7 linked regions of the Mus musculus genome follow. The protein of the gene in region 4 purifies or fractionates together with the protein of the main gene of each other region. This does not show direct contact. Links are inferred from orthologs where the notes say so. Each region holds a gene or a part of one and is shown on either strand. Other genes may lie near its edges. The genes, in order: Stx8, Mettl9, Pds5a, Slc30a4, 2310011J03Rik, Cip2a and Fut8.

Evidence for each region.
Region 1: the proteins of Slc30a4 (region 4) and Stx8 purify together in Homo sapiens (co-immunoprecipitation; 3 studies listed by BioGRID and IntAct, with this or other methods). This does not show direct contact. The link is inferred for Mus musculus from reciprocal best matches to the Homo sapiens genes SLC30A4 and STX8.
Region 2: the proteins of Slc30a4 (region 4) and Mettl9 purify together in Homo sapiens (co-immunoprecipitation; 3 studies listed by BioGRID and IntAct, with this or other methods). This does not show direct contact. The link is inferred for Mus musculus from reciprocal best matches to the Homo sapiens genes SLC30A4 and METTL9.
Region 3: the proteins of Slc30a4 (region 4) and Pds5a purify together in Homo sapiens (affinity purification with mass spectrometry; 3 studies listed by BioGRID and IntAct, counting the BioPlex papers as one, with this or other methods). This does not show direct contact. The link is inferred for Mus musculus from reciprocal best matches to the Homo sapiens genes SLC30A4 and PDS5A.
Region 5: the proteins of Slc30a4 (region 4) and 2310011J03Rik purify together in Homo sapiens (affinity purification with mass spectrometry; 3 studies listed by BioGRID and IntAct, counting the BioPlex papers as one, with this or other methods). This does not show direct contact. The link is inferred for Mus musculus from reciprocal best matches to the Homo sapiens genes SLC30A4 and C19orf25.
Region 6: the proteins of Slc30a4 (region 4) and Cip2a purify together in Homo sapiens (affinity purification with mass spectrometry; 3 studies listed by BioGRID and IntAct, counting the BioPlex papers as one, with this or other methods). This does not show direct contact. The link is inferred for Mus musculus from reciprocal best matches to the Homo sapiens genes SLC30A4 and CIP2A.
Region 7: the proteins of Slc30a4 (region 4) and Fut8 purify together in Homo sapiens (co-immunoprecipitation; 3 studies listed by BioGRID and IntAct, with this or other methods). This does not show direct contact. The link is inferred for Mus musculus from reciprocal best matches to the Homo sapiens genes SLC30A4 and FUT8.

What each region holds. Positions count from the first base shown.
Region 1 is NC_000077.6:68,007,782-68,011,731, forward strand, and holds part of Stx8 (syntaxin-8), read left to right. Parts: intron 1-3,533; coding exon 3,534-3,658; intron 3,659-3,950. UniProt on the Homo sapiens protein: Vesicle trafficking protein that functions in the early secretory pathway, possibly by mediating retrograde transport from cis-Golgi membranes to the ER.
Region 2 is NC_000073.6:121,051,352-121,055,301, reverse strand, and holds part of Mettl9 (methyltransferase-like protein 9 precursor), read right to left. Parts: intron 3,216-3,950; coding exon 3,006-3,215; intron 1-3,005. UniProt on the Homo sapiens protein: Protein-histidine N-methyltransferase that specifically catalyzes 1-methylhistidine (pros-methylhistidine) methylation of target proteins.
Region 3 is NC_000071.6:65,695,267-65,699,849, reverse strand, and holds the start of Pds5a (sister chromatid cohesion protein PDS5 homolog A), read left to right. Parts: upstream 1-1,613; 5' UTR 1,614-2,100; intron 2,101-2,912; 5' UTR 2,913-2,952; coding exon 2,953-3,087; intron 3,088-4,583. UniProt on the Homo sapiens protein: Probable regulator of sister chromatid cohesion in mitosis which may stabilize cohesin complex association with chromatin. May couple sister chromatid cohesion during mitosis to DNA replication.
Region 4 is NC_000068.7:122,688,843-122,692,792, forward strand, and holds part of Slc30a4 (zinc transporter 4), read right to left. Parts: intron 711-3,950; coding exon 557-710; intron 1-556. UniProt on the Homo sapiens protein: Probable proton-coupled zinc ion antiporter mediating zinc import from cytoplasm potentially into the endocytic compartment. Controls zinc deposition in milk.
Region 5 is NC_000076.6:80,317,552-80,321,996, forward strand, and holds 2310011J03Rik (UPF0449 protein C19orf25 homolog), read right to left. Parts: upstream 2,998-4,445; 5' UTR 2,762-2,997; coding exon 2,632-2,761; intron 1,997-2,631; coding exon 1,797-1,996; 3' UTR 704-1,796; downstream 1-703. Other genes in the region: Pcsk4 (proprotein convertase subtilisin/kexin type 4), read right to left, coding at 4,255-4,400.
Region 6 is NC_000082.6:48,992,447-48,997,028, reverse strand, and holds the start of Cip2a (protein CIP2A), read right to left. Parts: upstream 2,842-4,582; 5' UTR 2,752-2,841; coding exon 2,650-2,751; intron 1-2,649.
Region 7 is NC_000078.6:77,236,525-77,241,274, forward strand, and holds the start of Fut8 (alpha-(1,6)-fucosyltransferase), read left to right. Parts: upstream 1-1,579; 5' UTR 1,580-1,675; exon of another isoform or gene 1,676-2,729; intron 2,730-4,750. UniProt on the Homo sapiens protein: Catalyzes the addition of fucose in alpha 1-6 linkage to the first GlcNAc residue, next to the peptide chains in N-glycans.

The sequences.
Region 1 (3,950 bases), on a different chromosome or scaffold from region 4:
CAGAGCTCATAACTTAGGAAGGGAGACAGATGAGTAAATAACTAGCTACAATCCTGCTTGATAAATGCCACGTTCGAGGTCGTGAACAGAGTGCCATGGGAGTGCCAGCGAGTGATTGATTTGAGGAAAGGGGGATGGAGTGGGGATCAGGAAGGACTCAGCAGCAGAAGTGACCTTTGAGTTGAGCCTTAGGGGATGAATAGAATTTTGCCAGATGGACAAAGGGGTGGGGGTGGGGATACTCCAGACTCATGCAAAAACATGAGAGTGTGAAAGTTTGTGCCTTTGACTCTGTGGTAGTGAGCAGGATGTACGACTCAGGGAGATGAAGGGTGTGGTACTGGGGCATTGGGAGATGCTGCTGCTGAGACCATGGACCATCTTTTAAAGCTCACACGTAACCTATAGTTCCAGGGAGTCACGGAAGTTGTGAACCATGGAGATAATAATAGTGAGACTTCAGTTTTAGGTCATTCTATCATCAGAATGGGTCTGTAGGAGAGGTGAGGAGGGTCTAAAGCTAGGCTGTACTAACAGGGGAACATGTTGGCTGTGCATGAGGACAGTGAGCCATCTCTGAAGAACACCTCAGCCACTGCTGTGAGGTAGAAGGATAATTGCAGCAGCAGCAGCAGCAGCAGCAGCAACAACAGTAGTAACACAAGGCCCTGGATGGCACACTAAGCAGACTCGAGATGGGGAGGAGAAAAGCTTATGGGGCAAAGGAGTGAATTTGACCTTGCCTTTGCGAACTACTTGAGGATTCTTAAATGAGACAGGCATCACAGGGCACCTGTGGGAAAATGCCAAGGGCAGAGATACATTGGAAAGTCTTCAGCTTGGTGATTTTCTTGTAGGGAAAGGGAGGGAGGACATGCCTATTTTTTGTTTGTTTGTTTTTTTTCAAAAAAAAATTTTTTTTTACCACTTGGCTTATTTTACTTATTCATGTACCATTCTTTATCCTTACTTCAGAATATGATGTGACTCTACTAAGGCCAGTGTCAGTAGAGCAGTAGTGACTAATAGTAGGTATCACCCTAAGCTGATGAAGTGCATTCAGATGCATAGACGCATAGGAATGCTACAGGTGCATTGCTGGTAGGTCCAGGCCATCAGTAATCGAGGAAGACCAAGTCAGAGGAGCAGGAAGTAGGCGTGGCTTAGCTCTGGGAATTAGGTCATGCTGGGAAGTCTATTCTCTGTATCATGTTTACTATTGATATGAGCTTGTGCCCACATTTTTACTTTTATTCCCTAATAGGTGATTAAAGTATACACATACCACACACAAACTGCACACGTCAACACAGCTGGAGTCCTAACTTGCCATTTATTGAGGTTGCTTAAAATCACCTCACATTTGCTGAATTGTTTTTGTCCTTTCATATTAATACCTTAATTTTGTCTGTGTGCACAAGTGTGTGTACATTCATTTTGTGTTTTTTTTCTTTTTTTTGAGACAGGGTTTCTCTGTATAGTGTGTGTACATTAGTGTGTGTGTGTGTGTGTGTGTGAGAGAGAGAGAGAGAGAGAGAGAGAGAGAGAGAGAGAGACAGAGAGAGAGAGAGAGAGACAGAGAGAGATAGACAAGGGCTTGATACTAACCTTGGAGCAGTACCACTCAGTTTTGATACACTCACTGAAATGACTGCTCAGAGCTGGCCACCAATGCACTCCTGAGTCTCGGGCGATTTTTATAGTTTCTGACCCAGGCTTTTGCAGTGAGCCACATACAGCTACGGTGTGTTTCATGCTGGCACTTGCAAGATGACTCCGGTGCTAATGGATATGTTTGGATTGCAAATTGCCTGCTTCACTTCCCTTTTCATTTCTTTCTTCCTTGTCTTCAAAGCTAGGTGAAGCTAAGTGATTATGTATGGAGTAAGTGTGAAACCTCGACATCTTGGCTTCTTGGGGCCAATCATGTCAAGTAAAACCTTGAAGAACACATCTCTCTTTTTGATAGACTGGAAGAAAGTCATACTGGTGTTTGACATGTTAATTGGCACATTTGAATATGAGACCAGACCTGTGCGTAAAATCTTAGTCCAAAGAATCAAAACAGTCTTTGCATTTAGCCCAGGTTTTCTTGAAGGATATAGTCTCTTTTTAGTTAAAAGTGAAATTAATAGAATGTTGGAATATATTGTTTAAAATAATTTTAATACCTCCTAGTAGACAATGCAGTAATTGGTATAATGAAAACAGTTAATCTATTGAAAAAGATATTATTTCCCAAACACTGTATTCAGTAGTTTGCATACATTATTATCATCTCTTTTCACACACAAACATATACACACACAAGTACATGAGGACAACACCCACAAGGAGAAGCTGTATATTGTCAGGGCAAAATTTTGATCAGCTTGTACATAGTTTGTTTGATTAAAACAGTGCCTACTGAATAAGTATTGACAAAATCATTTTATGAATACATAAATTACTCTAGTTAATCCATGCTAAAACTTCCAGAGGTAGATGCTACTGTCTATATACTCCCAGTAAGTGGCATGCTCGTGGCTATTTGCTCTACACTGGGGAGCAGGGTGCAATAGAGGGGAGGTGGGTTCTATGTCCACTTCCTATCCAGTGGTCAGAAGGCTTAACGATATGGAAGGCCAAACAGTAGGGTAGCAGTTACTTCCAGACAACACAAGAGATGCCATCAGGGCTTGAAAAATGATAAGCAATGGAGAAATGAGTGAGTGTACACTAAATCACCCAGAGAGCGTCTGCACATAGCAGTTGCTTAATCCATGGTGACTGCTACTGTTCCTCCACTCCTACATCATCATCACCCCTCTCTCAGGCTCAGCAAGAGCAATGGTGTGAATCCCGTTCAACTCTGCACTGGAGCAGTCAGGGCAACGGGATTCTTACATCCTTTGGACAGGGAGGCAGCGGCAGGAACTACGCGCTCTGTCCTTAGATGGAAGACCAAGATGTGTTGTACAAGAGCCAATGTGCATTGCTTCAGGGGGGTAATGATCACAGTAGACAGTCACACTCAGTGTGATTGTTTTGACTGTAGTCACACAGTTGAATTGGAACTCTGAATGTGTTTCTGTGAGCAACCAAGCACCCTTTAATGGGAGATTTTATTACTTTTCTATGCTGTAATCTGTATTATTAGTATTATATTTGCATGAAAATATTTGTATTTTTATTTGTATATATTTGTATGAAAAAATATTATTTCTGTGCCTTCTGTGTCACAAAGCCTGTGAAACAAAATTTGTTCTGATAAACAGGCAACTTCCCGATGGCCTTGTGGTTTGAGACTTAACAACCTAATTTACCACCATCTTTGGAGGGTTAGTAGAATGCTGTGTAATTGTCTGGGGACCACAGCCTAGCCTCAGATCTCTTACAGCCCTGGGCATGGTCCCTAGAATAAACTAAGAGTGCGATAAATTGTGGAGATGGCTTTGCAAAGCGTGCCAGGCTGGCCAGCTCCGTGCTCGTCACAGTGATTTTCAGCCGGTTGTGTTTTGTGAGATATGTAATGTGCTTGCTATTGTTCTCAGGTCCAGCCTGATGAGCGAAGAAGCAAAGCGAGGAACTCCCAACCCTTGGCTCTGTGAGGAGCCGGAGGAGACCAGAGGTTTGGGTTTTGATGAGATCCGACAACAGCAGCAGAAAATTATTCAAGGTACCTATTGCTCCAGGACTGTGGCTCACAAGCCTGGCTATTCTGCTGTGCTTGACTATTCTTTATCTCTACTGAAAGCTAGAGTCCAAAAGTAAAGCTCTTGGTTTTGGCCTCAAGCTGCTTGAGGCAACGACTTCATTGCTGCTCTGACTCCATGGTCATCACATCAGCTTTTACCCTCAACTTCATCTGGACCATCAGGGTTTTTTGTTTGTTTGTTTGTTTGTTTGTTTGTTTGTTTTACCTTTTTATTTGTAGGTTCCACACTTTTGCTTTAAAGTGTGCTGTTTTT
Region 2 (3,950 bases), on a different chromosome or scaffold from region 4:
TTTTTATTACACTTGTGTATATGTCTGTACCACTGCACACACGTGGGGCTCAGAAGACAACCTGCGAAGTGAGTCCTCTCCTCCCACCATATGGTAACCGGCATCAAATTCGGGCAGCAGACTTTGTGGCAAGCAGCCTTCTTACTGAGCCAACTCACTGGCCCTGGTTTTGTTTTAATTCAGTAGGAAGATATGGGGACAGGTTAGAAACCTATAAGTTGTCATTATAACAAAGGACAAAAACTAACTTCTTTTTGGAGGGGTAATGTATTCTAATTATTACCATGTAGGTTTACCAAGATAGAAACTGAGGATGAAACCAAGGTAGACTATGCGGTCATTCAAACTTACTTCTACATAAGGTCCTTCAAATATAACATCCCAAACACTTATTTAACACTGAGGTGAGAAAGGTTGATGTTTCTATCCACAACTCAACTTCTAGAATCAGCTGTGCCTGATAGAGCAGAGTCTACGTTTACCTCTTCCTTCCATTTAAAGTCTCATTAAGTATTCACAGCAATCCGTCCTTCTACCACCAGCCTTGGTCTGTCCTTTCTCTAGACTAAAACTCTCCGTGTTTTCCAAATGTTCAATCTGCTCCTGCCCCACCAGAGCTGCACAGATGCTTGACTAAGGTTAGTCTAAGTGAGAGACACTCACAGAAGTCAGTGGGGAGATAAATCTCTGTCCAAGGCTTTCCAAATACCACAGGGGCAGGTCCCACCTCCACATGTGTAACCAGTCTGTAGAAAGAATTCTGGAATTTTGGTTTCTTTTAAAAACACAGAAATCTTATAAGAATATGTTTTCCTTTTAAGCCCAGGTGTGAGGATATGGGGCTCCTTCACAGCAACTGACTACCATTTGCCTTGTGCTCTAGCAGGGACATAGTTTTGCCAGCTGCAGATAGTTTGTACAATTGTGTGATGTTTGGCATTCTGGAAACTTCTCAGAGGGTATATAAATGCTAATACCTCAATAGGTGGGTATGGGTGGTGGTTGTTTGTGGTTTGTTAGTAGCTGTGCTCAATGAAGAAGCAAAGTAAAAAGCAAGAAATTAAATATTAAAGAGATATCTATCTCTCCCCCTCTATCCTTCTTCCTCTCCTACCTAGTGATAGAGGTAAAGAGGATGGGGGGTGGGGTGAGAACGCACAAAGTAGCAAAGACCAGCTACAAAGAAACAAGAAAAGAATTATTCAAGGACCCTCCCCCCATCCTTCTTTCTCTCCTACCTAGCTATAAGGGGTGAAACTGGGGGATGGAGGGAGATAAAGGGTAGGAAAAAGAAGAACCCAGAGTAGAAAAATTGGCTATAGAAGCCAATATACAAAGAGAGGTCTCTCACATTTTCTTAAGAAGTCTCGGAACACAGACTTCATACCTAATAAATACTCTTCATAAGTCTTTCAAGCACCAAGTGGTCTGTAACCTGAACTTGACCCTTTACATCCATCATTACTGACATCTGAGTGTGTGTGGGGCATGAAATCCAACTACTGTCAAGGGTGTAAAGAAATTGGTCAGTGGGGACATAAATAAAGTGGAGAAGATACAGTAAATTCTCAAAAAAAAAAAAAACCCCACACAGACTTAAGGGGCTGGAGAGACAGCTCAGCAGTTTGGAGCACTTAGCACTTTTACAGAGGACCTTGGTTTAACTCCAAGTACCCTCATGGTGGTCACAATCATCTGTAACTCCAGGGGATTCCCAACACCCTCTTCCAGTCTCTGTGGATGTCAGACACATACATGGTACACAGACATACATGCTGGCAAAACATTATACATATAAAATATATCTAAAAACAAAACAAACAAAAACCCTAGACTTAACATGTGATCTAGCTATTCCACTTTTAGGCATATACCCAAGAGAACATATTACTCATTTGGCATGGCTGTAGTGGTCTGAATGAGAATGGTCCCCAGCTGGTAAGACTATTCAGGAAGGACTCGGAGGTCTTGTTTAAGGAGGTTTCACTGGAGATAGGATTTGAGGCTTCTCTCTCTCCTTCATGGCTGTTGTCGCAATGTGTGTCTGAGCTACTGTGACAGTGTCATGCCTGCCGGTTGCCAAGTTCCTGTCAATTGGTCACAGGCTCACCCTATGAAACTGGGAACCAAATAAACTCTTTCTTGTATAAGTCATCTTGGTAGCACAGCAATGAAAAGTAACTAAGACAAATTGGTGGTGGTGCACGCCTTTAATCCCAGCACTCAGGAGACAGAGGTAGGCAGATCTCTGAGTTTGAGGCCAGCCTGGTCTACAGAACGAGTTCCAGTACAGCCAAGACTACCCCTTGGTATGTCTTGGCCCTCTTAGGAAGAAAAAGAAAACAAAAAGAAAAGGACCTAAGACAAATGTCAGAAGCAACCCCCAAACATCCCTAACACAGACTGTGTGGGGTGTGCAGTAAGCCATGAGTCCTCCTAAGACTCCTCCAAGACACAGTACACAGAGTAGTCAGATTCATGCCAATACAACAGTGATTACAGGCTAGAGGAAGGAAGAGTGCAGGATGATATTTCAGACTGTTCTTAGGGAAGATGGATAACACGAACGTGCCATGACTGCTGACCTAATTACAGACTTAAAAATGACTAAAGGGATATATTTTACATCACATATATGTTACCAAAATTTTTTAAAGCATATAAAACATCTGGACATGTCACTGATGAGGTCATGTCCTCACATCTGCCTACCTCAAGCTGTCTCTTACTTATGCTATCTTCTCTGTGATGCCAAGTCCTCTGCTTCAGAAAAATGCTGCCATGGAAAATTCCCTTTTTCCGGTTTCCCACTGATTTGTGTTTAATTCTTAACCATGGAAAACTGCTCCTGATTCTTATCACTAGGATACATGCAGAGGTAGAGTCCCTGGCCTTGCATTCAATTCCCAGTGCTACAAACAAACTAGACCAAAACCCAACACACATATACATCAAAACCCAAGAAATGCCCAACAGGCACGCCTGGCACCCTCTAGAACTGGTACCTGTATTTCTTCTTCTGGAGCTGCCAGATCATTGTTTCAGAAAGCTCAGTGGCGTAAATTTCTTCAAAATGAGGGCTCATGATTTTCGTGACTTCTCCATCTCCAGCACCTAAATCAAGAAGTCTATGGGTTTTCCAGTCCGGATTAATTCTAAGCAGTCTCTGAAACTGATCTGGTGAGAACACAAACATGGAGCCTCTTCCTAGCAACCTGGGGAAAGATGGACAGGAGGTGAGATCCACGACTCTAAAGAACGCCCGTGTACACAGAGAAAACAGCACCAAAGCTTTCTGACATTATGAAATTAGTATACAATTCAAAAATAGTTTATCTTTCATGGCCAAAAACAAATTCACAAAGAAAAGGTGGAGGGAATGGCAGAGACTCAAGGCTAACCATAGCGTGGGCAGAGGAACCAAACACACCTTTTAGGAAGATGGATTCAACAATGGTGATAGGAAAAAAATAATTTCGTATAAAAGAGTCTTAAGATGCAGAAAAATTGGATTTAAAAATGCTTTAAAAGAGGAAAAGAGCAATCGTTGTGAGATTAGCCACACTCAGGTTGGTTTATAGTTAGCTGAGACCTGTATTTTATTAAAGGTCCTAAAACATTTCAAGCTGATAATATTGACTGAAAAAAATAAAAATAATAAGCGGCCGGCAGAGGTTATGTGGGGCCTAAAGGAGCCCTCCCTTAGAAAAGCAGGTACAGCCCAAGCAAGCCATAAAGAAGTACACTCCCTACTCCCTTCCTGCTCCCAAATCCTGGTTGTTCTCAAATGAAGTAAAACTCAAACAGCACAAGTCCGAGGAGCTATTACACTGCAGTGAGGCTGAGTGCCTACAGCTGCCAGCAGCCCGCTTTTAAGATTTTCTCTGCAATCTGAAGCAGCTTCTGAAGCAATTCCTCCGCAGATCCTGGAAAAGAGACTGTACCATTCT
Region 3 (4,583 bases), on a different chromosome or scaffold from region 4:
CAGGATATGGTGGGACTCTGCCAAAACCAATCAAACAAACAAACAAAAAAAACCAATACATTTTTTCCCCTCCTGTTTTTATTCTTTAGGTCTCCCAAATCTTTTTACCTCAGCCTTCCAAGTTCTGGGACCACTGGCATATCAGAGGAGACCTGGCTCCTCCCTGCCACGTATTACTAGCATATTCATATTACTGGAAATCTTGAGTTCAAAAAAATCCTCTTGCCTAAATCTTTTGATTTAGCTGCAACCATAGGCCAGTTAAAAGGTGGGCATTTTAAAGAACAATGTATAAATTCAATTGCTGCCAGCTTCTTCTTTCTGTTTTTTTGAGATAGGGTTTCCCTGGCCATCCTGGAACTTACTCTGTAGACCAGGCTAGCCTCGAAATCAAAGATTTGCCTGCCTCTGCCTCCCGTTGAAAGGCGTGAACCATAACGGCCTAGCTTCTTCCTCTTTTCATTATTATTATTAATATTTTTTACTTTTTTTGAGACAGGGGTTCTTTGTTGCCCTGGCTGTCTGACGTCCTGGAGCTAGCTCGATTGACCAGGGTGCCTTGAACTCAAGAGATCCGCTTGCCTCTATCTCCCAAATGCTAGGATTAAGGGCGTGCACCACCATCACCCCCTTCTGCTTATTGTTTTTGTTTTTTTGAGACGGTTCTCTGTGTAGCCCTGGCTGTCCCTGGCTGTCCGGGAACTCACTCTGTAGACCAGGCTGGCTTCGAACTCAGAAATCCGCCTGCCTTTGCCTCCCAAGTGCTGGGATTAAAGGCGTGTGCCACCACTGCCCGGCTTGCTTATTGTTTTAAAAGGTGGTTTCCTGAAATTATGTGTGTATTGTTCAGGTTCATTCGCTTCAATATTTACCTTAAATTGCTCAAGCACCGCTGCACTAAGTTTTCTTTGGCAAGCCTTTCCTTTGGAGGAGAGAAAAAGTAGAGCTTTGGTGTATTCACAACTTAAAAAAAAAAAAGAGGTCTCAGATTCACATAGGTAATTTGTAAATCTCTAAAAACACCCTCCCTCTTTCTTCTTCTGGGCTTCACTATCAGGAACCCTAGTCTGTGTTTTCAGCCTGTACCCAAAATGACTGGGAGGCCAGAAGCCCCGGCACCATAGCTTGAGATCGCATGCCAACTTCCTATTTTGCAGCTTTGAAAACCTTAATGGTAGGAGTCTAACTAAGGTCGTAGGCTGCGACCTAGGGCGACTCTCCGGAAGACGCGAGAATGAGCAGCCCGAGTTGTAAAACTTTGCCTCGGCTTCCAGAGCTCTGTTTGGAGGGGAAAGCAGCCGTTTCTCCAGATAATTAACCATTTCTCCACCGGTCCGGTCACATCCCCGCCAGCCAAGCCTTCAAGAGCCCCGGACTCCGCGACAGCGGTGGCCGGGAGTGTCGCAAAGCCGCGCCTCCCGGGGTCCGCTTCCCGCCACCGGGGCTCCTCCTCCGCGCGCCGGCTCGGCTGCCGGCCCCCCGGAGGCGCCCGCGCGGGCAGGTCTTGGCGCCAAACGGGTGGCGGCGCTGTCCACCACGCGCGCGGCCGCGTCGGGCTCGAGGGAGGCGGGGGCTCGGCCGGCGGAAGAAGGGGCGGGAGCGAGGCGCGCGGTGCTCTCGCGGGCTCTCGCGCCGCTCGCGTGACGGGCTCCGGCTGTGCGCGGCGACGCTCAGGCTCCGCGGGGCACGGGCGGGCCGGGAGCGCGCCGCGGCGAGAGGGCGTCTGGTGCGGGTGGGCGCGAGGTGCGGGCGGCCGGCCGGCGAGCGAGCGAGCGGCCGGGCGGGCGCGGGGGACGCGCGGGCGTGCACCCGCGCGCGGGCTCTCGGAGGAGCCGCGGCCGAGGCTGCGCTTCCTCAGCCCGACGGAGAGCGGCAGTGTCGCCCCGGCCGGCGCACGCTCGGCCCGCTTCTCCCCCCGCGGCGGCTGCTCCTCGGCACCGCCAGCCCCAGCGCCGCTCCGGGGCGGGCGGGCGGCGGCGGCGGCGGCGGCGGGACGGACGGAGCCGCTTTGTGTGCAGCCCGACGAGGGGCGGCGGCGGCGGCGCAACCACCTGACAGAGGCCCGGCGCTCGCTGCACCGTCCGCCCGCATGAGGAGGAGGTAAAGCGGCGGCCGGGCTCGCGCCCTCGGCGGCGAGGGAGGGACGGAAGGGGAGACCGCAGGGGAGGGCGCGCGCGGAGGCCCGGCGGGGTTGCCCGGAGCGGCGGCTCAGGCCTTGGCGGTGCCGAGGAGCGCCGGGCGACCGAGGGGCTTGAGATGCCGCCGGGCTCGGTTGCTGAAGTTAAGGAACAAAAATGTGAAGTGCGGAGCCGGGTCCTTCGCTTCCTGGCGAGGGGCTCGGGCGGCTGGCGGGGGTGGCGGGCTGGCCGGGGAGGGGCGGCCGCGCGGCGGGGACGCCGGGAGCCCGGGGCTCGGCACGGCTATGGCGTTCTGCTCCCGGGCGCCGGCGCCGCGCGTGGGTCCTCTTGGGTACCTAGTTTTGCGGCCTAAGCTGAACCCTCTAGGCCTCGAGTCTCCTTTCCCGGAGGTGACCGGCCAGGCGGGGACCCAGCCGCTTCTCCTGAGCCAAGTGGGGCCGTTGGGTCCTCAATGTCCCCCCGAGGCCACCAAACTTCCGTCCTAGGTGCTCGGGGATACATTTCATTGTGAAAAGAGGGCTAGGAAACTCCGGGAGCTGCTCGGCGCCTCTCGCGGCCGGGGCTGCTGCAGCCGAGAACCCCGTGGCACCGGGGCTGGCTCGGGTGGGGGTGGCGGACGCCTAGCCGGGTCCGAAACCCAGGGAAGGAGCGAGTGGCGGGGTCCCCGGCCTCGGGGGGAAGAAAGGGCCCTTTCTAGATTAGAGATTTTTGAAATGAAAAAGAGGTTACAAAGTCGCCCCTTTTCCCGCTGAACTTTGATTTTCTGACCGATAGAGGCCGGTAGAGGACTGTGAGAGAAAAGTTATTCCCCAGGATGGACTTCACGCAGCCGAAGCCTGCCACTGCCCTCTGTGGCGTCGTGAGTGCGGACGGGAAGATCGCTTACCCTCCGGGAGTAAAAGAGATCACCGACAAGATCACCACCGATGAAATGATCAAACGTCTGAAGGTAAGGGTCTGGGTCGGCGATCTGCGCTCTGGATGGCTTTTGTGACTCGTGTGGTTTCATTGGACTACTCTCAACCTGGCCTTTGGAGTTTTTAGTACTAAGTTTTTGAAGATATCTTAACCGCCCCGGAAAAGTCCTGTTCTAACTTGGCGGTATCTTTGGATAAGTTCTGAAAGGACGGGGAATTTAAAGAGTGTGATCATTTTCTGTCCATAAGAACGCATGCATGGTTAGTTGTTTCCCTTGTGGTTATTTTATTTAGTGGATGTTGTTTAAGGGGCTCGATACCCTGAGGTGTAGACAGTGATTTTACCCACGAAAGTTCCTATTATTATCTACTCCAAGAAAAGACTGACTTGAGCACAAACAACCATATTGTCCCCCTTAGATTCTCGTAATTTTCTAATGGGAGCTTAACTATCTATACAGTGGGCTAAACTTAATACAGTGTACAGATTTTTCAGAATTCGAGCTTAAGGAGAAATGATGATTTTAGTACACATGCCCAAGAGAGTTGAAGGACGGGATTGTTGATATGTCTGTGAGTTTGTGTTTGTGTGTGCGCACCGGTTTTCTTGGTGTAACAATCTTGCGCTGTCATTTTGGGACTTAACTTTTCTGCTACTGCATAGGGCAGTGTTTGTTATGGAATCAGTTTCGAGCAGTGATTGTCACTTTGGACAACTTTGATGCACCAGGGGGTGTTGTAGGCAATTTCAGAGTCATTTTGGTTGTCACAGTTGGCTTGTGGGGAGTAGGCTGTGACGTTCTGTGAGGAGGCTAACAGTTGTCTAGTGAAAGATCTTAAACTATTGAAGTACAGTGTGGACAGTGGGAGAGGCAAAGAATGGGTTTGATGACTTGTTTAAGAGAGGACTAGTGGGCTGGAGAGATGGCTCAGCAGTTAAGAGCACTGACTGCTCTTCCAGAGGTCCTGAGTTCAATTCCCAGCAACCACATGGTGGCTCACAACCATCTGTAATGGGATCTGATGGCCCTTTCTGGTGTGTCTGAAGACAGCTACAGTGTGCTCATATAAGTAAAATAAATCTTTAAAAAAAAAAAAAAAAAGAGGACTAGTAACCCAGCTGCCTGCCCTTGAACTTAACCATTTTCCTGCCTCCACTTCCCAAAACACTAGTGGCATAACCACACCCTGCCAACAACAGTGGTTCTCAACCTGTGAGTCGAGACCCCCCCCCAACTATCTGATATCCTGTCTATTAGGTATTAACACTGTAATTCATAACAGTAGCAAAATTACAGTTATGAAGTAGCAATGCAATTATTTTGTTTGAGGTCACCACAACATGAGGAAGCAATAGGAAGGTTGAGACCCATTGTGTTAAAAGGTGCACTTCAAAGTCAGACATGGTGGAAGGCTAGGCAGGGAACATCGAGGACAATGTTTCTGCCTTATGCAACTTTATAAAATGGATTTCTAGGGCCTGATTTTAGGATTGAGCACAGTGCCCAGTAAATGTTGTGTGTTTAAA
Region 4 (3,950 bases):
CGTGCACGCTAAGCTCTACCACAACCCATCTGTTCTTTATAGAAAGATTGCTAACTTCTGCTCTAAATGATTAAGGATGAAACATAGTTCAGTAGTTTTGAGGAGGAAAAAATGATTTTAAAAACTAGCTAACAGACTAGTGAGATAGTTCAGCAGGTAAAGGTGTTATTGCTAAGTCTGACAATGTGAGATTGACTCCTGGAACCCATGTGGTCAAAGAAGAGAAATGATTCCTGTATATTGTTCTCTGACTTCCATGTGTACACAGTAGCATGCATGTGCCCCACACACAAATAAAATAAATACAAAACTCCTTTGAAATGTAGCTAACATAAAAGTATTAAATATTAAATAACATACTTGGTTCTACTTAAATTCTTTAGTGTTAAACTCTGAGACAGGTGGACAAACTAACAAGTTTATAATGCTCCATTTCATTATACTTCTAAGTAAAACTGACTGACTATATTTTTAAGTATGAACATATTCCATGGTCTGTATACATGCATGTGCAATAATCTTTTGGCTCATAGTGTGTGAAAAATATTGTGCTTACATTACATTAACTGCAACTCCAACAGCTGCAGTGATGAGCATGACATCGCCGTTTATTTCATAGTTCATATGGATGGTTCTCTGCACAGCCTCATATAAGAGGAATCCCATTAGTACATACACCAGCATTACACTGATCATGGCCGACAAAACCTCTACAAAGGAAGACAGAAAATGCAGGCATCTTAAGCACAACGGTTACACTTCATACGAACTAGACATGGTTCAGTTTCCTACTTACATTTTCTTTACAGAGGAAAGAGCACTGTTATTTTTGTCATACAACATTTTTTTTCTTAAAGTATTTAGCAGCTTGAATGATTTAGATCCTTAACTAATTCATATCCATCCTCTCTCTATTCATATCTCCATTCACAAGGTAAAACTGATACAGAAAAAGAAAATTTTAATGGCATAAAACATACAAGATTAAGATTAAACATAAAGTTTGCTGTACTATAAAATATCAAAGTTATTGTACTTGGCATGAAAATGCCAAAGTAGAGCTTCAAAGATTATGTGAAAATATTAGATCCTTTGTTATTCTCTGACTTAGTGTCTTTTTCTTTCTCTTTATAGCATTTACTATAATTTGTGATTGTATTTGTGTCTATGTGCACACAAGAGTCACCATGTCTCCACAGCCTTATTCATTTATTCATTCATTCATTCATTCATTCATTCATTCATTCATTCATTCATTCATTCGTAACTAATGGGTACTCATTCAGTCAATGAATAACTATTTGTCTTAACAACGTAGACCACTCACAACAGAAGCATATATGTGTTTGTGGGTATTGCATAAGTTACTGGTCTAATGTAAGTATTTGCTTTGCTAATGCTATGATGCCAATAATAAGTATATTCCACTAAAGTTACATGGCAATTGTCTTTCCATTCTCAGAAAGAACTAAGCAAACATCTAAGGCATGTTCCAGAGATCTATAAAATTATAATGAACACAGAGATATCCTCTCTTCCACTTTCTTTTCCACTCTTTCCTGCCTTCTTCCAATAGAAGATAGGAAGAAAACAACAGTAGGGTGTGTTGGATTTACCTAGGCCTTCCGAATTAGTCCAACTGCACTCAAGCTGATGTTATAGGGATTTTCATCAGTCTATAGTCCAGAGTCTGTCTTTGGGTTTCCTCTCTTTTATTACAAATTGCTTCTCCTACTCCTGCTTTTTCATCACTCCCTATACCATACTACACTGCCAACTATGGTCATGCTGACTGATGGTATCCAGTGTTAGCCACTTCAGTCATGCCTTCCTTATGCCTCAACTTAAACTCCCATTTCTAGCAAGATTTAGAGCTTAATTTTTTCCAGTAAAAGGTCATGTGATATGATTAAATTTGCAATAAGATGTGAATAATAAAAAGCACAGCTTTTGATATAGGTAGGAGAAAGCTGTTAAAATGAATCACAACCAGGTAGAAAGTTTATTAGTATTATTTTTGATGCTTATATGAAGGAGATGCTTTCTGTTTCTCTAGTATCAGTGGATAAAGCAACAAACTACACAGAATTAGTTGTAGCCAAATCTTGCCCAAGACACATCTAGCTGGTTCTGACCATGATCTCTGCTCAGGAAACATTATGAGCAATACCTGTGCTATCATCTTGCCATTAACACAGTCTGAGGATTTAAATGATCAAATCATAAACACTGCTTTCTATCCTAACCACAAACAGTGCTGCTTAGTATAGTCTTTACATCAGTATAGTCCCTGAAGATCTGGAAGAAACTTCACATAAAAAAGCCAATTAAGATAATCTATACAGAGAAAGGCAGAAAGGGCGAAGCAGGATGGGAGCTGCTGTCTTCAGAATGACATACTCTCTTAGAAGAGAATCTTTTTCCTCCTAAAGATTTGTGGTCCATCCTTTCGTCTTAGCTTCAAACTCTGTCTCTGCAACTCCTTCCATAAATATTTTATTCCCTATTCTAGGGAGGAATGAAATATCCACGAGTTGGTCTTCCTTCTTGATTTTCTTGTGTTTGGAAGTTGTATTTTGGGTATTCTAGGTTTCTAATATCCACTTATCAGTGAGTGCATATCAAGTGACTTTTTTTGTGATTGGGTTACCTCAGTCAGGATGATATCCTCCAGATACAACCATTTGCCCAAGAATTTCATAAATTCATTGTTTTTAATAGCTGAATAGTACTCCATTGTGTAAATGTACCACATTTTCTGTATCCATTCCTCTATTGAGGGACATCTGGGTTCTTTCCAGCTTCTGGCTATTATAAATAAGGCTGCTATGAACATAGTGGAGCATGTGTCCTTATTACAATTTGGAACATCTTCTGGGTATATGCCCAGGAGAGGTATTGCTGGATCTACAGGAAAGGATGGACCATTCAGAGACTGCCCCACCTGGGGGTCCATCTTCTGGGTATATGCCCAGGAGAGGTATTGCTGGATCTACTGGAAAGGATGGACCATCCAGAGACTGCCCCACCCGGGGGTCCATCCCATAATCAGCCACCAAACTCAGACACTATTGCATACGCCAGCAAGATTTTACTGAAAGGATTCTGATATAGCTATCTCCTGTGAGGCTTTGCCAGTGCCTGGCAAATACAGAAGTGGATGCTCACCGTCATCTATAGGATAGAACACAGGGCCCCCAATGGAGGAGCTAGAGAAAGTACCCAAGAGCTAAAGGGATCTGCAACCCTATAGGTGGAAAAACAATATGAACTAATTCCCCACAGAGCTCGTGTCTCTAGCTGCATATGTAGAAGATGGCCTACTCAGCCATCATTGGGAAGAGAGGCCCCTTGGTCTTGCAAACTTTATATGCCCCAGAACAGGGGAATGCCAAGGCCAAGAAGTGGGAGTGAGTGGGTAGGGGAGCAGGGCGGGGGGAGGGTATAGGGGACTTTTGGGATAGCATTTGAAATGTAGATGAAGAAAATATCTAATAAAAAAGATTTGTGGGATCTCTTTCATTGTGGTTTCATTAAATCCTGTATTATTAGCTCTCAGAGTAAAGTGACATGCCCATAATCAAATAAGTCCAGACACTTAAATACAACACATAAGGCTTTAGTTCTTTCTTTCTCTCTCCCCACATTAACCTGCTGCTGTTGTAGTGTAGTGTAAATAAAGAAAACTCAGAATGATTTCACACCATCCACAGCTACACATGAAGCAACTGAAGAGACTGTGGTGACAGCCCTAAGAGAAGAGGGCTATGAGCTCTCCTGCTCACCTGGCCTATAGCATTTATTTTCTTTTAAGAAGTACAAATTTTGTTGTACCAAAGAATGTAGACTATTAACAAATAATGATAAAAATTAGTCAAACATTTTCAAGACTGGATATTCCAAAGAATTTATACTGGCCTTTTGTATGCATACATACATGCTACTAAGAA
Region 5 (4,445 bases), on a different chromosome or scaffold from region 4:
GTGGCTCTAGGAGACCCTCTCAAACCTCAGAGGCATCCCAGGATGACCCTGAACTGGGGTTGTAGACTGAGCCTGTGCACCACACACTGTGGGAGCCCAGGTAGCCAGCATGCTGCTCTGTGCCTCAGTTTCCCCATGTGGGCCGTGGGGAGGACTCAGAGTAGAGCAGCAGAGATGTCTGGGCTGTGGTACCAGCATGCAAGGGCCATCTTTCTCCCAGCCACCTCCTCCCATCCTGCCAGCCTTGGGGGCCCAGCAGCCACATTTGCCTTCTTCACCCCAGACAGTGGGGGACACAGGACACAGTGTGACATCCAGCCCAGGGTAGGCAAGAGCTGACGAGCCCTTAGATTCAGAGCAGGAGGGGTCTGCTAGCCGCCAGGCTGCCGATGGCTGCTAGCGCTCTGAGCTGGACACCAGTGGTCTACCGGAGACTAACCACTGGGTGCTTGACCAGGGCATCATGCCTACCAGTTACCTCACTGTGTGTGTGTGTGTGTCTGTCGCTGTCCCTGGCCAATGTCACCCCTTGCTCATACCTGGTCAGTGTGTCCTCTGCTGCCATACCGTCTCCCGCCCTGTTCTACTACAGTGTTACACTTCTGTACATACTGACCCCCGACCCCCCACGCAGACCCCCGAGTGGACACCCTGCCTGGCTTCTGATTCTTGTTCATATCTTTAATAAAGCGAGCCACTCCATCGATCTGTAGCTTCATCTTTATCACTGGCTCTGGGGGGGGGGGGTCGTTCCAAGACCTTCTTCTACAGCTCTGTTCAACCCCAGAAGGTGTTTCTGAGCTCCCCACTGACTCGACAGCGTGTCACATCCCCACATGCTGGAGCCGAGGTTGACTGAGGTTCAGCCAAGCTGTACCTGGCCATCAGCCACTGGTCATTTGTGGTGGAGGTGTCATGGTGGAGGTGGGGACCAGGAGTCCAAGCTGCACTGGTCAGGGCAAGTTGGACCCCGTGACCGCCAGGAATGTGGAGTGTCAGGAATGATGTAGCCACAAGCTAAGGCCACTTCTGACAAAACAGTTCCAGCCAGCTTGGGACCCAAGGAGGCAGGTGTGGTAGCTAGCGCCTGAGCTGCCAAGGGGTGGCAGGGGGCTTGGGTACCCAGTGATCTAGCCTGGCTTAAGGGAGAACTGTGTTCAGGCATCAAACATCTTTAATCTTCCAGAACTAAAGTCCAGCCACCCCAAGAGTGGTGGGTCTTCTGCAAGAAGGCAAACTAAACCCCAGATCCAGAAGGGGCAACATTCACCACACACAGGGACCTGGCCTTTGAGTTCCTCTTGGACCCCTGGGCTCCCCAGAATGGAAACTCCCTTGATGAGTCTCCCCGGCCCCAGGGAGAACTGAGAAGGCAGTGTAGCCCTAGAGGGCCTGAGCCAGGCTCTATGAAGCGTGCAGCTAGCCCATTCTCTCAACCAAGATGCCAGTGGCTGGCCTGCTGTGGATGCTGGGGATGAAGACCTTCACTGCCCAGGGTGACATGGGACAGAAGAGCACACCGGTCACTATGGGGCAGACTGGCTTTGAGCCCCGACCTGCAATCAAGTCCTTGATGCAATTTAGGCCAGTGTCCCCATAATGAGGAGGTGGCCATGTCCCTAAGTCCCATCATGAATTAGAGGCCATTAAGGATGGAAGAGGGAACAAAGCTGCTAGCTGGCAAGGTGGGCCACTGGGTCTCCCCGGGCCAGGGTTGGGACAGCAAATGTTGACCCAGAGCCTCTGGTTGCTAGGTGCCCAGGCCTGGACCAAGGACATCAGGTGTAACTTCGGCTCTAGGAGGTGGCTGAAGTCACCTGGCTGATATCCTGTTCCAGCCGCTGACCAGCTTGCCGAAGGCCATCGAACTTCTGTCTCAGAGCTTCCCCCGCCTGCCGCAGCCTCTCATTCATAGCCACGTAGGCCCGGCTCTGTTGGTAGATCTGCTCCTGCTGGATCTCAGAGTCCTCAGCCCTTGGGGATGGGTCTGGGGGGTCTGAAGAGAAGAAACAGTGTCACCATCCCCAGGCCTGACATCCACCAACCCAGAGGCAAGAGGATCAGTGGTTCAAGGTCATCCTTGGCTACATGGTGAGTTCGAGGCCAGCCTGGGCTATATAGGCCTATTAGGCACTAGAAAACAAGACTCAGTTTCAGGTTTTGGTGTCATGGAGAGGACAGGACACCTCCAGCCACCCTGGCCTGCCGTTCTACCCAGGACTGCCTGGATTCCTGGATCCTAGGCCAGGAGTCGCAGATATGGCCCCTGCAAGTACTCTGGCCCCCCATTAATTTGTAGGAGCAGCTGGCCACGCCCCTCTGAGACAAGGTCTTGAACTCACAGCAATCCTCTTGCCCTAGACCCGGGTTGGCAGCACTTTCAACTTTTTTTTGTTTTTGTTTTTCGAGACAAGGTTTCTCTGTGTAGCCCTGGCTGTCCTGGAACTCAGTCTGTAGACCAGGCTGGCCTCGAACTCAAAAATCCGCCTGCCTCTGCCTCCCAAGAGTTCGGAGCACTTTCAATTTTATTTCTGATGATCTTTCTTTGCAGGGGAAGAGAAGGGCAGGGACAAAAAAGATTCGTCCCTGCAGTCGGTTTGCTCCCCACTCGGGAGTCTCACGTTCTCCTACCTTCCGGGGCCAGGGCAGTGAAAACAGGATCTTGAGCGGGTGCCCCTCGCACGTCCTCCAGGATCTGCTCCACCGTGGGAGGCGCGGGGCGAGTGGGCAGTACCACGCGTTTCTTCGCCTTGGAGTTCATCTTGTAGGTGGAGCGCGCGCTAACTGGGGGTCCACTTTCGGCTCGGCCCGCCCACCTCGCGAACTCCTACGCACCCCTTACAGACCTGCGCCGAGGTCCCTACCCCGTCTCGCTTTCCCTCCTCCCGGAACCTCGGAGTTTGGCTCGATCTCCGCGCCAGTTTGCTCTTGGAACACCCCGCTGCCTATCTTCGTTCCAAGAACCTAGGCGGCCGCCACCGCTTCCGCTTCCTGCTTGAACGCCACTACGTTCCGGCACTTCCGGTCCACTCCAGCGCCACGCCTCGCGAAACCCCTCCCCCGTCTTAAAGAGCCCTAAGCCTAGATGCTCCTAGTTGCTATCCAGTAAGATCAGAAGGAACTCTGCCCTCCTTCACCGCGTGTGGTGGGAGGAAAGGGGTGAACGTGATTTCGAGAGTAATCAGTGTACAACCATTGCCAGGTACACAGTGGGCGCTCAATAAATGCTGGATGGAACCTAGCCACAGGCTTTGCTTCCTTGTGGTAGACCTTTAACTCAGTACTTTAATCTCAGTACTGTGAGGCAGAGGCAGGCAGACCTCTGTGAGTTCAAGATCATCTTGGTCAATATGGGGAATCCCAGAACAGCCAGGACTACACAGTGAGACCCTGTCTCAAAAGAGCAGTGGGAAAGCCGGGCAGTGGTGGCGCACGCCTTTAATCCCAGCACTCGGGAGGCAGAGGCAGGTAGATTTTTGAGGCCAGCCTGGTCTACAAAGTGAGTTCCAGGACAGCCAGGGCTAAACAGAGAAATCCTGTCTCGAAAAACCAAAAAAAAAAAAAAAAAAAAAAAAAAACCAGTGGGGGATGGGGGAGCGAGCTAGCTTCCTGTTCATGGCTGTATGGTAATTCAGCACTTGGCAGATCTGGGCTCAGAGCAGTCTTCCTCTGTGGGTCCTTATTCCTCCAGGGGCCCACCCTACCCTCAAGGACACCATAAACTCGACATCTTCTGTTTAACTTTTATTTGGCAACTATGAGGTTAGACATGGGGCTATGGATGGCTTGGAGACAGGGAAGGGGCAGATGATTGGTGGCTGTGGTCTGACCTCTTGCCCACTGTACCTGCTCCAAAATGAGTAAGGACACATCTCTTCCACTGGGAGCAGCTGAGGCTGAGCGGTGGGCTGTCACCTGACCCATGCAGCTGCTCTGCCCTGGCCTTCTGGGGCAGGCTTCTCTTCCAGCCTGAGAGCAGGACCTTGGGGTACCGGCCTTCTGTCCTGACAGCCAGGCATCTCTGGCTCTCCAGCCTCCAGGGATCTGTGCATGCATGGTTTTGGGCACTGGGGTATCTAGCCTGGGGCAGGTGGGCCTTCCTCAAGCCGAGGGGCCTCCCAAAGGCCCTGGCCAGCAGAGCCAGCACCATGGCCCAAGACTGGTAGCTGGGGGGCCACCAGAGGTGGCAAGCCTTGGAGGGGCTCTGGAGCTCTCCCAACACAAGGGACAGGGGACAGGCAGTGTAGTCGCTGCTCAGGCTGCTGCAGCAGGTGTAACAGGAGGGTGACAGCTGGCCTGTCCTTCGGTCACTGGCTGCTGTGGGTGGCTGTAGAGCCACCACCACTGCTGGCTGGAGATGAGGCAGAGTCCTGCCAGGATGGAGAGGGGACTGTGACTTTCTGCATAGGGACAACATGGAAACAGAAGGAGTGAGGCTGCAGCTG
Region 6 (4,582 bases), on a different chromosome or scaffold from region 4:
GAAAGAGTAAAGTTAACAAAGAATGTTTTAAAATGTAGCAAGAATAAATTTTTTAATAATTTTTCCTCTTCAATCCAGTTATTTTAGTGAGGGAGATTATAAATAAACCTGTTATCTAAAGTCAAACAATTTGTTATTTTAGAATTAGATTAACGTATCTCAAATACATACTCTAAAAGGTCACATCTAAGCAGACTGCTTTAGTAACCCTCTAATTATTAGAGTCTAATACCTCCTTCTGTATCTTCCTTTTATTTTTCCACTTTCTTACCAAGCTTTGCTCTTGGAGTTTCAATTTATCTATTCCCTAGTAGAATGGGTTTTAAAATTAATTAGCTTGTAAGATGAAAAAATATGTCCAAAGTAAAAAAAAAATCACACAAACTGTTAACTTATCTTGGAATCAACTTGGTCATCAACTTGGTGATCTGAACATAGTTTCTCTCATCTAGTAATACTTAGCTCTCTAGAAGAGGAAGGCAGTTTCTGCTTTAAACATGACTGGGGCCAAACATGTGACTCAACAATAGTATAGCATCTAGTAATTAGTTAAGATAAGGTAAAAATTAAATTTTTACTGATGGGAACTAGCTCAATGAGGATGCCTAGCACTTAATCTGGCCATGGCACTGACCTAAGAGTGCTTTCCACCTGGGAACTCTTTTCATCCTCATAACCCTGTAAGAAAGGTGCTTCTGACTCAATTTGTGTTTTGAGTAAACTGGGGCATGCATACACTGACGATAAAGAAGCACGACTCAGATTTATACCCCAAGGGGTTGAAGCCACGCTTTTAATAACTAGACTCATGGTCAGTGATGTGAAATGCCATCACATCGAATATCAGACTAGACCAACATGAGCAAAATGACTCCAAGCACAGGTTCTGTGTGGGTTATAAAGTCACACTGCAGTCACACTGCAGTCACACTGTGTGGGGTTATAAAGTCACACTGCAGTCACACTGTGTGGGGTTATAAAGTCACACTGCAGCAGCAGTGCAGACGAATGACTAATCGTGTCTCTCATGATAAATATTTGTGTATCCTCGGAAACTACATCACCCTCAAAAACGGTAAATACTAAGAACTAAGGATGGGCCTGGTTGCGCGATGGCAAAATCAATGCACTGCTAGTACGTAATGCCAAGGTCTTTTTGAAAGGCGTTTTAGCAACATGAAGCATTACTGGATGTGGGCTGGATGGCTCAGCAGCTAGGTGCATGCACTATTCCGCAGACAATCTGAGTTGGAGTAGCAGTACCTCAAGGAGTTCACAGCTGCTATCAAGACCAGCTCCAGGGAACAGAGCCTTGTGCCTTCTGAGGGTCCTGCCCACACATGCGCATACATCACACACAGACAAACATTTAAAAGAATATTAAAATAACAAAAAGAGGAACATAAGCCCTTAAGACCTGATAGTTCTACTGGTAGGTTTATAAAAGAGGGTTGCGTTCAACCATAATAAAAATATATGACTGGAATGCACTTATTCTTAATTCCACACAGTTCTGAAAACAATCCAAATGTATTTTTGGATCCGTGGAACACTTACATAAATATCTACATAAATACTTACACATAAAAAAAGGAGTCCTGTTTATACATACAACCTGAATGAATTGCCCTGATTATCTTCGGTGAATGAAGCCACTCAATATTCAACAAAGAAAACAAAACAGACATAGAAAATAGGCACTTGTGATATCTATTCCAGTTGTCAACTAAGGCTACATCTGGAATGAACTAAATCCAGAAATGGAGGGCACATCTGCCCAGATCTTGAGGCTGGAAGACACAGGCTTCAGACATGGGGCGATGTGCTTTTGATCCAGATCTCGAGGCATAGTGGCCATGAAAAGCGTAGGCCCAGGCAAGGTAGTACATACCTTTAATCCCAGGGGAATGAGACAAGTCTCCTGAGTTCAAGGCCAGCTGGGATTGCAAGTTCCAAATCCAGGTGTGGTGATTCATACCTTTAATCTGGGCTCTACCTCCTACTGGAGGACTACATAAGGACAATGGAAGAGGGAATTCTCACTCTTCTTTGCCTGCTTACACTGACTTTCCAGTTGGAACCTACTTCTTCAGGATTCCCGCTTACACAGATGACCAGCGAAAACAACTAGTGTTGAGGGAGTGAGCAACTACTAGATTCCTGGACTTCCCAGTCACAGCTAGCTTCCCCACTTGTTGGGTTAGTAGGAGCGAAACTTTAAGTCCTTACAATAAATCCACTTAATATAAAGGGATACTCCATAAGTTCTGTGACTCTAGAGAACCCTGACTAATACAGCACCTTAAAAAAAGATCCGGAACACACACACACACACACACACACACACACAGTGCGCTCGCATACACCCCAAAGCCTCCTGGTTTGGGTCCGTACACACACACACACACACACACACACACACACACACACACACTGCGCTCGCATACACCCCAAAGCCTCCTGGTTTGGGTCCGTACACAATCCCCTCCTGGCACCCACTCGTTGCGCACACCCAGTCGCTGTCGCCAGTGCAAGGACAGCGAAGCAGCTGCAGGTCTGCCCAGGGCGAGACCTCCATCTTCCGGCCCCACAAGAAAACAGGAGGGGACCGAAGGAGGGGACACCCACTCGCACCCCGAACCTCCTTACCTCCAAGTGCCTCAGCAGCTGAGTGGCGTTCGCCTCCGACTTAACGGCCTTGTACTGACTGATGCTCAGGAGCAGGGACTTCAAGCAGGCGGTGGAATCCATGCCGACGAGCCGGCCTGTCAGCGACCACCGACACCAGCCACCCTCTGTCTTCAGCGGTCGCCGCGCATTTTTTGATTTTTTTTAAGCCCCACCCCTCTTGCGCCTGGCAGCTTCCTGTTCCGGTCGGACTCCGGAAGTCTGGGAGCAGCGGGTGGGACTGCAGTCGGTGATTGGCAGGGTGGGCCTGGGTTCCAGGCGCTGGGGTTGCGGGAAGGTGGCAGGGAGCCATCCCCTCCCACCCCCGCCGCAGTCCCCCTTTGGCGGAGAGGCCGCGAGGTTTCGGCTGGAGGTCCGCGAACACGCGGGAATCTCGCGAGACGAGCTCGTGCGGGCTCATTCTGTGGAGGGCTTCTGGGGCGAACGGGGGTCTCCGTGCCGCGCGGGCTCGGTCCCCGGGCCTTCCTCGGCCTGGGCGCGGCGGGCTCGGCTTTCCGTGCGTGCCTCAGCCTCTGCCCGAGACACGGCCGCTCCCCCCTAGTCTAGACACGGTGAGGAACTCGGAGCCGCCGAAGCTGGGGGTGGGGGCGTAGGTTTGGAGGCGGCGGGAGAGGGGCCTCAGGTTCTGCGGCCCTGGTCCCTGGTGGCCGCAGGCGACTCGCGCAGGCTAAGACCTGTGGCGGTCGGGGTTCCGTGATGAGGCAGCCGGAACTTTACGGTAGGATTTGTCAGAACCCCCCATAGAGAGAGAGCATCCCGGAGTCGCTCCCGGACGCGTTCTTGTCAGCTTTGATGTCTGTAGGCTGAGGGGCCTGTTCTTGTCTGGCGTGATTATTTTGCACATTTCTGTGGCGTCAAAAAAAAAAAAAAAAAAAAAAAAAAAGAAAGAAAGGCACCGTTGAGAATTTTATTATTATTATTATTTTAATCGGAGGTAATGATGTGCACGGATCTAATAACGAAGTGAGTCAGCAACTGGTTCAGGAGCTTAAGCTAGGTTGTGGGATCGAGTAAATGCCCATTTGACTAAGTTCTTCTGAAATTGTGGGAATTCAGGGAACGTTCCTTTTTGTTTTTTGTTTTTTTCTCGTTTGTATTGGTACCTTTTAAAGACGTCATTTATGTTCATATTAAAAGAAAATAAAAGTAAAGCTAACTGATGGCTGGAAAAAGATTGTGCCGTTGAGATAGTCACATGAGAGTTTGTAGCTAGTGCATTCATTCATGCATTCATTCATTCCATTTTAAACAAACATGTATAACGGGGCTAGGGATTGACTGTCACTCAGAACAAAGATGAGGACGTGGTGCCTGCGGAGAAGCAACCATCTAATAATAGTCCAAATAGGAAAGTACTGTTGGAATTCACTACATAAACGAGGAATGCGTCATCACTAAAACGAAGAGCAGCCAGTTTGCTGACAAGTATTTTTGCACCTTTCTCTTTGTGTCTCTGCATTTTACTGCTTTAGGCTTTTCATGAAGTGAAACCTAAGAGTAGACTATTTTACACGATAGTTTATTCAGTAAATTCTTATTGAGCTTCAGAAATAGTAGCCTTTATTACAAAGCCAAAGTGCTAGAAAGAAAAAAAAAAATGATCTCTTCCATTGACATAACAGGCATATCCCCAAAATGATGCTTTGATCACTGATGCGTGTGTGATGCTGATCCAGTTAGATCATACTAAACTGAAAGCTGAATGAATGATCTCTTCCTGTGACCTAGTGACATCTTACTTGCCACAGTGTCATAACTACACAGCAGCAGCATATGAAAGTATAGCACATACTGTTATGGATGGCACAAATAAACTACTAATGATTCATTTGTTTACTGATCCATACTTTTATCATTACCACTTGTATTCATAGTCAAAACACAAGCTTAATAG
Region 7 (4,750 bases), on a different chromosome or scaffold from region 4:
AGGGTCTTTCTAGCTCACTAGATAGTCCAGGCTAGACTATAACTTAAAACAATCCTTTGGCCTCAGCTTTCCCTCCTCAGTGCTAGAATCAGGTATGCGTCGCAGCAATCGATCGATTTAAGACTGTAGTTTTCAAAGAGCTCAGTTAGTATTACTTCTTGTTTGAATTTTCCAGAAATTCATTACTGGTCTAGAACTGAATGTGAAAAGATTTGTTCCCACATATCAGTTGCTTAGCTGATACTTCTAATTCTGGGATGGTAACTATATCCTGAGCATGGCCTGAAGGATCTTTGAGAGCAGCGTACTGTGACACTGAGCAGAGACCTGAACTGCTGAAGAACTACTTTCTCACTGTATTTCAGAGTCATCAGTTTGGCGCTTTCTTATATACTATGCTGTTCTATAAAGATGTACTAAGTTCTTCACAAATATTTCTAGTGGCTTTTTCTTAAATAGAAAGTAGGTGGGATGCTTTGATTCCTATAGTTTTAATATTTCCTAGGAGATAATTAAAGCCAGATTAAAGGAGCAGAGAGTTCGAGGCACACATAAAACTTTGAATGTAGAGATCTTCAAGTACTGCAAATGGTAGCGTGTGTTAATTAACTAGAAATGGTTCCTCTTTTTCCCTTGAATACATTCAAGCCATACATCCTTGTTAAAGTGCTTTTTAAATGCTGTGCTGAAGCCTCAAAGTAAACATTTTACCTCTGACTCCTAAAAATGTTCCAGGCTGTGGGTGTAGCCCAGGAGAAAACACACCCTTAGCATGCACATACTCACACAAAAGGAAAAATAATTCAGGGTTTTGACTGTTGAAATTTTAGCCCTTAATCCATCTAAGTACAGTATAAGCCTAAATTTTGCTTATTTGCAACAGAGAACTGAGAGTCTCACGGAAGTTATCTACGCATTTAATAAATGACTACAGATTTGTTGAATGATGACACCCAAGCTTTTTGGCTAGATCATAATTCTGACTTCACCAGAGTTTTGTGTGACCTTCAATAAGCCACGGTGTTTTCTCAGAGAGCTTTATTTCGAAGAGACATTAACCCAGTCACAGGTCCGGAAAAGCTTCTCAGGGTGCGGAGCTCCTGAAGGCACAGGCATTTTTTTTTTTTTCCTTTTTAAAAAGCACTGTCCTTTGCATTTTAGAAACACAGTTCCTGATATAGAATAAACATTGGGAATTTATGAGAGTTATTAGGTAGGTTGCATTCTTGGCAGGCTACGACCTCTTTAATGTCTTTTCTGTGTTTTTTTGATTACTAGCATATAAAAGGGTGGCCCTGTTTACTCAGAGATACGTTTCCAAAGTATTTACTAGTATTTATCTGTGCTGGGAGGAATAATTGTCTTGAGGGCAGCTTTTCTACTCAGTCACCCGGCTGAGTCCTCAGGCTTGGGATCTGGTCCCCAGGCTACAGGGAAGAGTTCGGCACGGGAAGCTCATCTTCCGGCCCTCTGATTGGCCAGTTCGCACTCCACTCACTGGTTTTCCCGCTCTGATTGGCCCCGGCAGCACCCCTTCGGCCCGCGACTACTTTGTGTGCCCTGGCTGCGCGGCTGGGTCCTCCCGCCCAGCTCGCCCTCCCGGACGGTCTGTCGGAGGTAGCCCTTCGGCACTCGGCTCAGCATCGCGGGCGTCAGGATCCCCGAGTGCGAGCGGGTAGGAAGCATCCTAGGGAAAAGCCTCTCCTCTCCTGTACTCAATAAACTTCCGCCTCCGAAGGGCTGAGGCAGCAGCGGCTGCGAACGGCCGGGCTTCGAACTCGGGCTCTGCGGGGTTCTTTCTCTTCAGATGAAGACAGAGCCCGCAGGGTAGCCGGACCGCCCGGAGCCGAGGTGGCACTGTGTGCTGGTGCCTCAGCGGATGAGCAGCAGAGAGTACCCCGAAACTAGTACAGAGCCCTATTGAGCCCCAGCGGGGTGCGCCTCTGGGTGGTGGGCCAGGCCGGCCAGGGCGTGGGGAGCGCTGCTCCCCTCAGCCTCCGACCCTCAGGCGGCCTTCGCCTGTAGAGACCAAAGCCGGAGCCCGCGCGCGGCCGCTGTCCGGCTGGAACTCGGGTCCCGCCGTGGCCCGGTGGATGCTGCAGCTCCGCTGTCCACCCGCACAGAGAGGAAGGGGACGGGGCGGAGCCTGTGCACATGCCAGGGTCGCTGGAGGAGGCCGCGGCCGGCGCATGCGCGCCCTCCCCCAGCAGGCTGGGACGCCGAGGGGCGCGCGCCCCTCTCCGCGCGCGCACGCTCGCTCGCTCGCTCCCTCGCTCGCGCCGGCCGGCGGCTTCCCCGCCTGCGCTCCCGGTCGGAGCCACTCCGGCGCGTGCGCGCGTGGTCTCGGGCCGACCCGAGTGGCCGGGTTCTCTGGGCTCCAGGCCCCCGCCGCCCCCTCCCCGGCTCCCAGCCAACCCGTCCCTCCCTTTCCTCACGGAATGGGGCCGGCGCTGCTCGGGGTCGCGCGTCCTGGACCCGGCTCGCGCTCGGTCTCGCGCTGTCAGCCGCTGCCTGGCTCGCGCCGCCTTGCGCTTTCCCTCAGTCAGTGGCGCCGAAGGCTCCGTTAAGCGGCGGCCGCGGTTCCTGTTTCCGTTTCTTCCTCTCCCTTCAGTCGGGAGTAGCATCCTCCACCCCAGCACCCCTCCCACTCTCCCGCCGCGGCCAGCTGCAGCTGGAGGCAGCGGCGGCGGCGACGGGGGACGGCGCCGACCGCCTCGCTCCCGCCTCGGGTAAGGGGGCGTTAGGGAGCCGGGCCCCGCGCGCCGCGGACTCCAGGACGGGGCGGGCGCGGGCTCTGTGGAGCCTGGGCTCGGGGCGCTCCTTCGTCCTCCCGCCGATACCGGGCCTGTTGCTGCAACTGCTGCAGCCGTTGCTCAGCCAGCGGCCCCGGGAAAAGTGGGGAGGGAGCCTCCGGGACACCCCGGCGTAGCCTTGGCCCCTTGGGTGAGGGGCGCCGCGGCGTCGGGCATCCCAGGACCTATGGGATGGGGGCGGGGTGGGAGGTGTCCCTCAGCGAATCTCTGCATCTGCCGCTCCTTGCCCCCGCAGCCGGGTCCCCACGGTCAGACCGTGGGAAGGTGGGTTCCTTTGCTTTGCTTTGCTGTGTGGGCTTCTGGGGCTGGAAATCAGAGTGAACCTGCACAAAGATGCGTTCTGGCTAGTGGCTGAGGCAGGGTAGTTAATGGCCTGGGTGCCTCGGTATCCCCTCCCTTTGATCTGCGAATGACAAGCTGGAGGCTGTGGAGTGTCTCAACTTATTTGGGAAGGTTAAATGAGTCATATCAGCTCAGCGGAGGTCTGTCCTGCTGGAGTTGGGGTGGTTTGTCGGTAGCAGCACCTGTTCTCTGGATGTGGGCTTTGCAATCCTCAGAGACGTAATTCTTAAGTTAAATGGCACTGTCATGGTTAGGGTTTCGCACCCTGGTGAGCTTTTAGCGCTTTGCCTTAAACGTGGAGGCCTTGGAGAAAAGCAAAGAAAGTAGTGTTTTTCCTTGTGTCTAATTCTGCACGTTACTTTTAAGAAAACGCAAGAAGGTGAGCCCAGGAAAACCATATCCTCCCGTACCTCCCGTAGATCACTCCGAACTTAAAGGTTTCAGGGAACAAATGCAATGGAAGTTTTTATCAATTTAAGAGTTAAATTTATCACAAGTCACTGACTTAACTTTGCCTTTGCTCCGTAGAAACTCTTAAGAAGGTTTTATTTTAGTTGTCTTGTTCTTCCTGGGGTTAAGTGCTTATTTATTTTCTTGGTTAAAGTTCTGTGTAATATGCATACTTCTTTTAAAGGGTATATCATATATAAAGTATTTTAGGGGAGAAATTATATACTGAAGCAAAGAAGTAAGATGCTTCTTTTCTTTAAGGCAACATAGGAGTCTCTGACAATAGTACGCTCCTGTACATTGCTGTCCTTCTGATAAGAAGTCTTAATTATAAATACGACAGTATTTTAACACACATATATATAGCATTTGAAATTGCAGGCCGAGTGAAAATGTAGGGAACAAGAGACGACTAGGCTGTAAGCATATGAGGGTGGCTTGGAGGTTTGGGTTTTCAGTTTGCTGTTATAAATCGAGAATTCTGTTTGAGTTGAAGAGCTGAACAGCTGGAATGAAACTTGCATAGATTGCAGGAACGTGCAGAAATGTCTTTGATCAGATAGTGAGTTAATATGAAGGGTGTCTTGTGATCTACTAGGAGAGTGATTCAAAATAACTTAAATATGACACACTACAGATTGTATTTTAAGGATTTTTTTAAAATCTAAAAGTCATTTGAGGTTGTTTTCTCTGTAAGTCAGCTGTATTTGATATATATAGAACGGAGACCAAGACAATCATTCTGATTCTATAATGTGGTCTTTAAAAAAATAAAATCTAAATAATTTTTTTCCAAAGGAGTAACAGTGACCTCAAAAGTGATGAATTTTGAAATTTTCTAGTGTGTCACAAAATGTGTGTGTGTGTGTGGTTTTTTTTTTTTTTTTTTTTTTTTTTTTTTTTAAATGCAGTTATTTTAGGTTGGTCTGGAGGGGGAGCTAGTGCCAAAGCAAAGTGTAGCTTAATAGCTGTTTGAACTTTTTAAACATCTAACCAGATTTTTATGACCAGGAGAAGTATACATTTTTTTAATTAAAACACTAGAGGTATTGATGTGGACATAGTAACTGTTCATAGTTATTTGTGGGGTGTGTATATTGGATATTAGAAATTAGTTTTAGAAATCGATCATGAATAATGAAAGC